Xenopus tropicalis: one gene and its partner. The protein of the gene in region 1 purifies or fractionates together with the protein of each later gene. This does not show direct contact. Links are inferred from orthologs where the notes say so. Each region holds a gene or a part of one and is shown in the gene's direction. Other genes may lie near its edges.

Evidence for each region. The genes of interacting proteins can lie anywhere in the genome.
Region 2: the proteins of cdk5 (region 1) and cct7 purify together in Homo sapiens (affinity purification with mass spectrometry; 3 studies listed by BioGRID and IntAct, with this or other methods). This does not show direct contact. The link is inferred for Xenopus tropicalis from reciprocal best matches to the Homo sapiens genes CDK5 and CCT7.

Annotation. Positions count from the first base shown.
Region 1 is NC_030682.2:1,367,062-1,371,106, reverse strand, and holds the start of cdk5 (cyclin-dependent-like kinase 5), read left to right. Parts: upstream 1-1,218; 5' UTR 1,219-1,248; coding exon 1,249-1,285; intron 1,286-4,045. UniProt on the Homo sapiens protein: Proline-directed serine/threonine-protein kinase essential for neuronal cell cycle arrest and differentiation and may be involved in apoptotic cell death in neuronal diseases by triggering abortive cell cycle re-entry. Interacts with D1 and D3-type G1 cyclins.
Region 2 is NC_030677.2:16,900,310-16,904,294, reverse strand, and holds the start of cct7 (T-complex protein 1 subunit eta), read left to right. Parts: upstream 1-1,185; 5' UTR 1,186-1,223; coding exon 1,224-1,229; intron 1,230-3,985. Other genes in the region: pradc1 (protease-associated domain-containing protein 1), read right to left, coding at 115-193. UniProt on the Homo sapiens protein: Component of the chaperonin-containing T-complex (TRiC), a molecular chaperone complex that assists the folding of actin, tubulin and other proteins upon ATP hydrolysis.

The DNA of each region.
Region 1 (4,045 bases):
TGATGTCATCGAGCACTGGCACCCTGTGTGTGATGTCATAGGGCACTGGCACCCTGTGTGTGATGTCATGGAGCACCGGCACCCCGTGTGTGATGTCATCGAGCACTGGCACCTGTGGGTGATGTCATTGAGCCCTGGCACCCCGTGTGTGATGTCATGGAGCACCGGCACCCCGTGTGTGATGTCATCGAGCACTGGCACCCTGTGTGTGATGTCATAGGGCACTGGCACCCTGTGTGTGATGTCATGGAGCACCGGCACCCCGTGTGTGATGTCATCGAGCACTGGCACCCTGTGGGTGATGTCATTGAGCCCTGGCACCCCGTGTGTGATGTCATGGAGCACCGGCACCCCGTGTGTGATGTCATCGAGCACTGGCACCCTGTGTGTGATGTCATAGAGCACTGGCACCCTGTGTGTGATGTCATGGAGCACTGGCACCCTCTGGGTGATGTCATTGAGCTCTGGCACCCTGTGTGTGATGTCATGGAGCACCGGCACCCCGTGTGTGATGTCATCGAGCACCGGCACCCTGTGTGTGATGTCATGGAGCACCGGCACCCCGTGTGTGATGTCATGGAGCACCGGCACCCTGTGGGTGATGTCATTGAGCTCTGGCACCCTGTGTGTGATGTCATTGAGCTCTGGCACCCTGTGTGTGATGTCATTGAGCACTGGCACCCTGTGTGTGATGTCATGGCGCTCTGACACCCCGTGTGTGACGTCATGGAGCACCGGCACCCCGTGTGTGACGTCATGGAGCTCCGGCACCCCGTGTGTGATGTCACAGAGCTGAGGGAGAGGTCTGTACCCTGCTGTATGGTAGTTACCGGTCTCTACCCCTCAGCCTGATACACACAAAGCAACACGCCATATCCCTCTGTAGGCGCATTGTGAGGCCAATAACCCCAGGATTCCATAGCTCAGTGCCCTACTCCCACCCCTATTTCTCTCTCAAACACTATTAGCAGCTTTATAAGGAAAGGACAGCGCTACTGCAGGGGACAAAGCTGCATAGATGGGTGTACCAACATGGCCGCCTCCCCGCCCCCACAAAGCGTCCCATTCCTACTGTCTCCATGGTAACCGCTTCTCCGTGACAGACTGGGCGGGGCTAACCCTGCCGCACAGCGCTCAGTAAGAGGGGAATCCAGTAGCACAGATTGGATTGGCTGAAGTCTCCTTCCGGGGCGGGTCTGTACGCATGCGTACTGAGTGGAACAGTGAGGGCGGCCTGCCGGTGCTATCATGCAGAAGTACGAGAAGCTGGAGAAGATCGGGGAAGGTGAGTGGCCCCCGGGCCGTGTGTCTGCTGGGGGGGGGGCCCTCCGGCTCCTTCTGCTCTGTCACTGGCTGGGACTCCCGTCACTTGTAGTGCGGCCTGGTCCGTATTCAACTACAACTCCCAGTATCCCTCCCCAGCAGCTACTGTGTGTGTGTGTGTGTGTGTGTGTGTGTGTGTGTGTGAGGGACAGAGAGCAGGGAATTGTGGGTAAGGGATACCTGGATATGTGTGTGTGTGTGTGTGTGTGTGTGTGTGTGTGTGTGTGAGGGACAGAGAGCAGGGAATTGTGGGTAAGGGATACCTGGATATGTGTGTGTGTGTGTGTGTGTGTGTGAGGGACAGAGAGCAGGGAATTGTGGGTAAGGGATACCTGGATATGTGTGTGTGTGTGTGTGTGTGTGTGTGTGTGTGTGGGACAGAGAGCAGGGAATTGTGGGTAAGGGATACCTGGATATGTGTGTGTGTGTGTGTGTGTGTGTGTGTGTGTGTGTGTGTGGGACAGAGAGCAGGGAATTGTGGGTAAGGGATACCTGGATATGTGTGTGTGTGTGTGTGTGTGTGTGTGTGTGTGTGTGTGTGTGTGTGTGTGTGTGAGGGACAGAGAGCAGGGAATTGTGGGTAAGGGATACCTGGATATGTGTGTGTGTGGTGTGTGTGTGTGTGTGTGTGTGTGTGTGGGACAGAGAGCAGGGAATTGTGGGTAAGGGATACCTGGATATGTGTGTGTGTGTGTGTGTGTGTGTGTGTGTGTGTGTGTGGGACAGAGAGCAGGGAATTGTGGGTAAGGGATACCTGGATATGTGTGTGTGTGTGTGTGAGGGACAGAGAGCAGGGAATTGTGGGTAAGGGATACCTGGATATGTGTGTGTGTGTGTGTGTGTGTGTGTGTGTGGGACAGAGAGCAGGGAATTGTGGGTAAGGGATACCTGGATGTGTGTGTGTGTGTGTGTGTGTGTGTGTGTGTGTGTGTGTGGGACAGAGAGCAGGGAATTGTGGGTAAGGGATACCTGGATATGTGTGTGTGTGTGTGTGTGTGAGGGACAGAGAGCAGGGAATTGTGGGTAAGGGATACCTGGATATGTGTGTGTGTGTGTGTGTGTGAGGGACAGAGAGCAGGGAATTGTGGGTAAGGATACCTGGATATGTGTGTGTGTGTGTGTGTGTGTGTGTGTGTGTGTGTGTGAGGGACAGAGAGCAGGGAATTGTGGGTAAGGGATACCTGGATATGTGTGTGTGTGTGTGTGTGTGTGAGGGACAGAGAGCAGGGAATTGTGGGTAAGGGATACCTGGATATGTGTGTGTGTGTGTGTGTGTGTGTGTGAGGGACAGAGAGCAGGGAATTGTGGGTAAGGGATACCTGGATATGTGTGTGTGTGTGTGTGTGTGTGTGTGTGTGTGTGTGTGTGTGTGTGTGGGACAGAGAGCAGGGAATTGTGGGTAAGGGATACCTGGATATGTGTGTGTGTGTGTGTGTGTGTGTGTGTGTGTGTGTGGGACAGAGAGCAGGGAATTGTGGGTAAGGGATACCTGGATATGTGTGTGTGTGTGTGTGTGTGTGTGTGTGTGTGTGTGAGGGACAGAGAGCAGGGAATTGTGGGTAAGGGATACCTGGATATGTGTGTGGTTGTGTGTGTGTGTGTGTGTGTGTGTGGGACAGAGAGCAGGGAATTGTGGGTAAGGGATACCTGGATATGTGTGTGTGTGTGTGTGTGTGTGTGTGTGTGTGTGTGTGGGACAGAGAGCAGGGAATTGTGGGTAAGGGATACCTGGATATGTGTGTGTGTGTGTGTGAGGGACAGAGAGCAGGGAATTGTGGGTAAGGGATACCTGGATATGTGTGTGTGTGTGTGTGTGTGTGTGTGTGGGACAGAGAGCAGGGAATTGTGGGTAAGGGATACCTGGATGTGTTGTGTGTGTGTGTGTGTGTGTGTGTGTGTGTGGGACAGAGAGCAGGGAATTGTGGGTAAGGGATACCTGGATATGTGTGTGTGTGTGTGTGTGTGAGGGACAGAGAGCAGGGAATTGTGGGTAAGGGATACCTGGATATGTGTGTGTGTGTGTGTGTGTGAGGGACAGAGAGCAGGGAATTGTGGGTAAGGGATACCTGGATATGTGTGTGTGTGTGTGTGTGTGTGTGTGTGTGTGTGTGTGTGTGTGTGAGGGACAGAGAGCAGGGAATTGTGGGTAAGGGATACCTGGATATGTGTGTGTGTGTGTGTGTGTGTGAGGGACAGAGAGCAGGGAATTGTGGGTAAGGGATACCTGGATATGTGTGTGTGTGTGTGTGTGTGTGTGTGTGTGTGTGTGTGTGTGGGACAGAGAGCAGGGAATTGTGGGTAAGGGATACCTGGATGTGTGTGTGTGTGTGTGTGTGTGTGTGTGTGTGGGACAGAGAGCAGGGAATTGTGGGTAAGGGATACCTGGATATGTGTGTGTGTGTGTGTGTGTGTGAGGGACAGAGAGCAGGGAATTGTGGGTAAGGGATACCTGGATATGTGTGTGTGTGTGTGTGTGTGAGGGACAGAGAGCAGGGAATTGTGGGTAAGGGATACCTGGATATGTGTGTGTGTGTGTGTGTGTGTGTGTGTGTGTGTGAGGGACAGAGAGCAGGGAATTGTGGGTAAGGGATACCTGGATATGTGTGTGTGTGTGTGTGTGTGAGGGACAGAGAGCAGGGAATTGTGGGTAAGGATACCTGGATATGTGTGTGTGTGTGTGTGTGTGTGTGTGTGTGTGTGTGGGACAGAGAGCAGGGAATTG
Region 2 (3,985 bases), on another chromosome or scaffold:
TGGTTTAGCTGCCCAAATGCTTACCCTTCATTAGCCTCTACCCTCACCCATGGGTGCCCCAGCTGCCCCTGGGCACACCTACCAACCAGTGCCCCGTATGCCGTTTATACTTACCCCTGACAGGCAAGGAAGGGCACAACAGCAGCACCAATGTAAGGAACAGCTGGCAGCCCCTGCACACACCACCTTGCATGTCTGCCAATGCAGCGCTCCGCCCTCCCCCTCATCCTATTGGTACAGATCAGCGGCTCTCATTGGCTCCCCGTTTCATCACCAACCAATTACCAAATTCCGTCTAATACACAGGAATCCAATAACAAGCGTGTGTGTCCGTCTTCAGCACCAAGCTTGCAACATGGGGAAGCACCTTCCCCCCCACGGCAGTGAATGGTATAGCCCTCACACAGTCTTTGGAACGTGGGGGACGTTCCACTGGGGAAAGCCCGGGGGACGTCACAGTGCCTTATTACTTTCCTTATGCAATAAATGCTCCAGCACTTAACCTAAACTTCCCCCCACGGCAATGAATGGTATAGCCCTCACACAGTCTTTAGAACGTAGGGGACGTTCCACTGGGAAAAGCCCGGGGGACTTCACATTGCCTTATGACTTTCCTTACGCAATAAATGTTCCAGCACTTGAGTTAAGCTGCCCATCTGCACATTATTTCATAAATAAAAATCACAGTAGTTACTTCCCATCCAAGCCAGCGACATTCCACTACTCCTCCGGCTACATTGCCCATGTTACAGGGTAGGGCAGATAGTAGCAGGCAGACAAAAGTAAATATTATAATACTTTAATACCGATCAATGACAGCACACTTGCGCGCTGAGGGATTGGGTGTACCAAGATGGCGTAGCGGAATTAGCCCGCTTGTTTGGGTGTACCAACATGACTGAGAGTAAAACATTGCTTGTCAGGTATTTCTGAGCCCAGTGCGACTATCCAGCCTCTCTGCGCCTGAGCATGAACGCATTACATGGCCACAACCATAACTACGTTGGGCGAACAGGGTAGAATCCAACTTAGCAACCGGTGAAATCATGCCCTAGCCGGGCGAGCCGCGTCGTCAAGGCGACAGCTTCTAAACACGCCCCTTATCGCCCAGCCCCTCGGCCGTTGGTAGTTGGCTGCCGAAGGTTCCGGAAGGCCTTCCCGGTGCATTGTGGGAACTGCAGCACCCGGCTTCTGTGAATCTATACCCGGCGCCGCTCAGCAAGATGATGGTGAGTGTGCAATCCGCTTCCATCCTCCGCCATCCGGCCCGGGGCTCTAACGCACCCTGCGGCCCTTGTGTCTCCGAGGGGTTCTGCGTCTCTACCGCAATCATGTGCCGCTGTTTCACACAAAGCCGCAGCGCCTGTCTCTTGGCCTCATTAGCCGCTCCTCTCAGGGCCATTACAGGCTGCCCCGACCCTTCATTTAGCCTGTAGGGCCCTGGGCAAGTGGGCAGTGCTTACTATACCCTGTAGTGCCCCTTAGGCAGCCCCCCCCCCGGCACAGGCAGCCCCCCAGTCACCCCTTAGGCAGCCCCCAGTCACCCCTTAGGCAGCCCCCCAGTCACCCCTTAGGCAGCCCCACCCTGGCACAGGCAGCCCCCCAGTCACCCCTTAGGCAGCCCCCAGTCACCCCTTAGGCAGCCCCCAGTCACCCCTTAGGCAGCCCCACCCTGGCACAGGCAGCCCCCCAGTCACCCCTTAGGCAGCCCCCAGTCACCCCTTAGGCAGCCCCCAGTCACCCCTTAGGCAGCCCCACCCTGGCACAGGCAGCCCCCCAGTCACCCCTTAGGCCAGTGTTTTTCAACCTTTTTTGGGCAAAGGCACACTTGTTTCATGAAAAAAATCACAAGGCACACCACCATTAGAAAATGTTAAAAAATTTAACTCTGTGCCCAGCAGCAGTGCCCCCCTAGTACATTGGTGCCCAGCAGCAGTGCCCCCTAGTACATTGGTGCCCAGCAGCAGTGCCCCCCTAGTACATTGGTGCCAAGAGCAGTGCCCCCCTAGTACATTGGTGCCCAGCAGCAGTGCCCCCCTAGTACATTGGTGCCAAGAGCAGTGCCCCCCTAGTACATTGGTGCCCAGCAGCAGTGCCCCCCTAGTACATTGGTGCCAAGAGCAGTGCCCCCTAGTACATTGGTGCCAAGAGCAGTGCCCCCTAGTACATTGGTGCCCAGCAGCAGTGCCCCCCTAGTACATTGGTGCCCAGCAGCAGTGCCCCCCTAGTACATTGGTGCCAAGAGCAGTGCCCCCCTAGTACATTGGTGCCCAGCAGCAGTGCCCCCTAGTACATTGGTGCCCAGCAGCAGTGCCCCCCTAGTACATTGGTGCCCAGCAGCAGTGCCCCCCTAGTACATTGGTGCCCAGCAGCAGTGCCCCCCTAGTACATTGGTGCCCTGCCTACGGCACTCCAGGCAACATCTCGCGGCACACTAGTGTGCCGCGGAACAGTGGTTGAAAAACGCTGCCTTAGGCAGCCCCACCCTGGCACAGGCAGCCCCCCAGTCACCCCTTAGGCAGCCCCCCAGTCACCCCTTAGGCAGCCCCCCAGTCACCCCTTAGGCAGCCCCCCAGTCACCCCTTAGGCAACCCCCCAGTCACCCCTTAGGCAGCCCCACCCTGGCACAGGCAGCCCCCCAGTCACCCCTTAGGCAGCCCCCCCGCCACAGGCAGCCCCCCAGTCACCCCTTAGGCAGCCCCCCCGGCACAGGCAGCCCCCCAGTCACCCCTTAGGCAGCCCCCCAGTCACCCCTTAGGCAGCCCCCCAGTCACCCCTTAGGCAGCCCCCCCAGTCACCCCTTAGGCAGTCCCACCCTGGCACCCCTTAGGCAGTCCCACCCTGGCACAGGCAGCCCCCCAGTCCCCCCTTAGGCAGCCCCACCCTGGCACAGGCAGCCCCCCAGTCCCACCCTGGCACAGGCAGCCCCCCAGTCCCACCCTGGCACAGGCAGCCCCCCAGTCCCACCCTGGCACAGGCAGCCCCCCAGTCCCACCCTGGCACAGGCAGCCCCCCAGTCACCACTAAAGATTATTAGACTATAAGCAGTGCCAATAGCCCCATGGTACACTGCAGCCTGTCAGACACAGGGCACAGAGTGCCAGTCACCTAGAGCCGGTCAGACCGTGGGCACTGCCATTGCTACTGTGCATTGAAAACACTTCTATGTGTTGTTCATCCCTTGGGCAGTGCCAGTGTCTCAGTGATCCCTGTCAGACCTTGGCCAGTACTGGGGACCAGTATAGGTTGGCAGATCCTGGACATTAGCAGTGCCCCAGTACATCCCGGGTGCTACAGTACCACTGGGCGGCCCATAGCTGGTACCAGAGTCTGTTTTTCCTGCTGGGATTTTCAAGACCAACTCTTGATCTCTGGGAACCTTAACGTAACTTTCTCTTGTGAGGGGAAAGGCACATTTGTCAGGCAGGTTGCAGTTGGTCATAATCACTTGCCCATTGGGGAGACATCCCTGTCCCCATGAGCCATGAAGGCTGTTAGGGAAACCTCTGTGGGGCAGTTTAGAATGGGTTTCAGGAGGGAACCAGATCCGGCCCGGGGAGGGGGCCAAATCCGGCCCGGGGAGGGGGCCAGATCCGGCCCGGGGAGGGGGCCAGATCCGGCCCGGGGAGGGGGCCAGATCCGGCCCGGGGAGGGGGCCAGATCCGGCCCGGGGAGGGGGCCAGATCCGGCCCGGGGAGGGGGCCAGATCCGGCCCGGGGAGGGGGCCAGATCCGGCCCGGGGAGGGGGCCAGATCCGGCCCGGGGAGGGGGCCAGATCCGGCCCGGGGAGGGGGCCAGATCCAGCCAGGGGAGGGCCCAAATCCAGCCAGGGGAGGGCACCAGATCCAGCCCGGGGACGGCACCGGTGCCACCCAGCTGTGCCACTCTCTGCTAGTGGTTTGGATTTCCCAAGGCCGCTGTTAGCATAGGGACCCCGCACCCTCCTGTCAGTCACTGAATGGGTGCTCAGGGTGGGACTCACCCT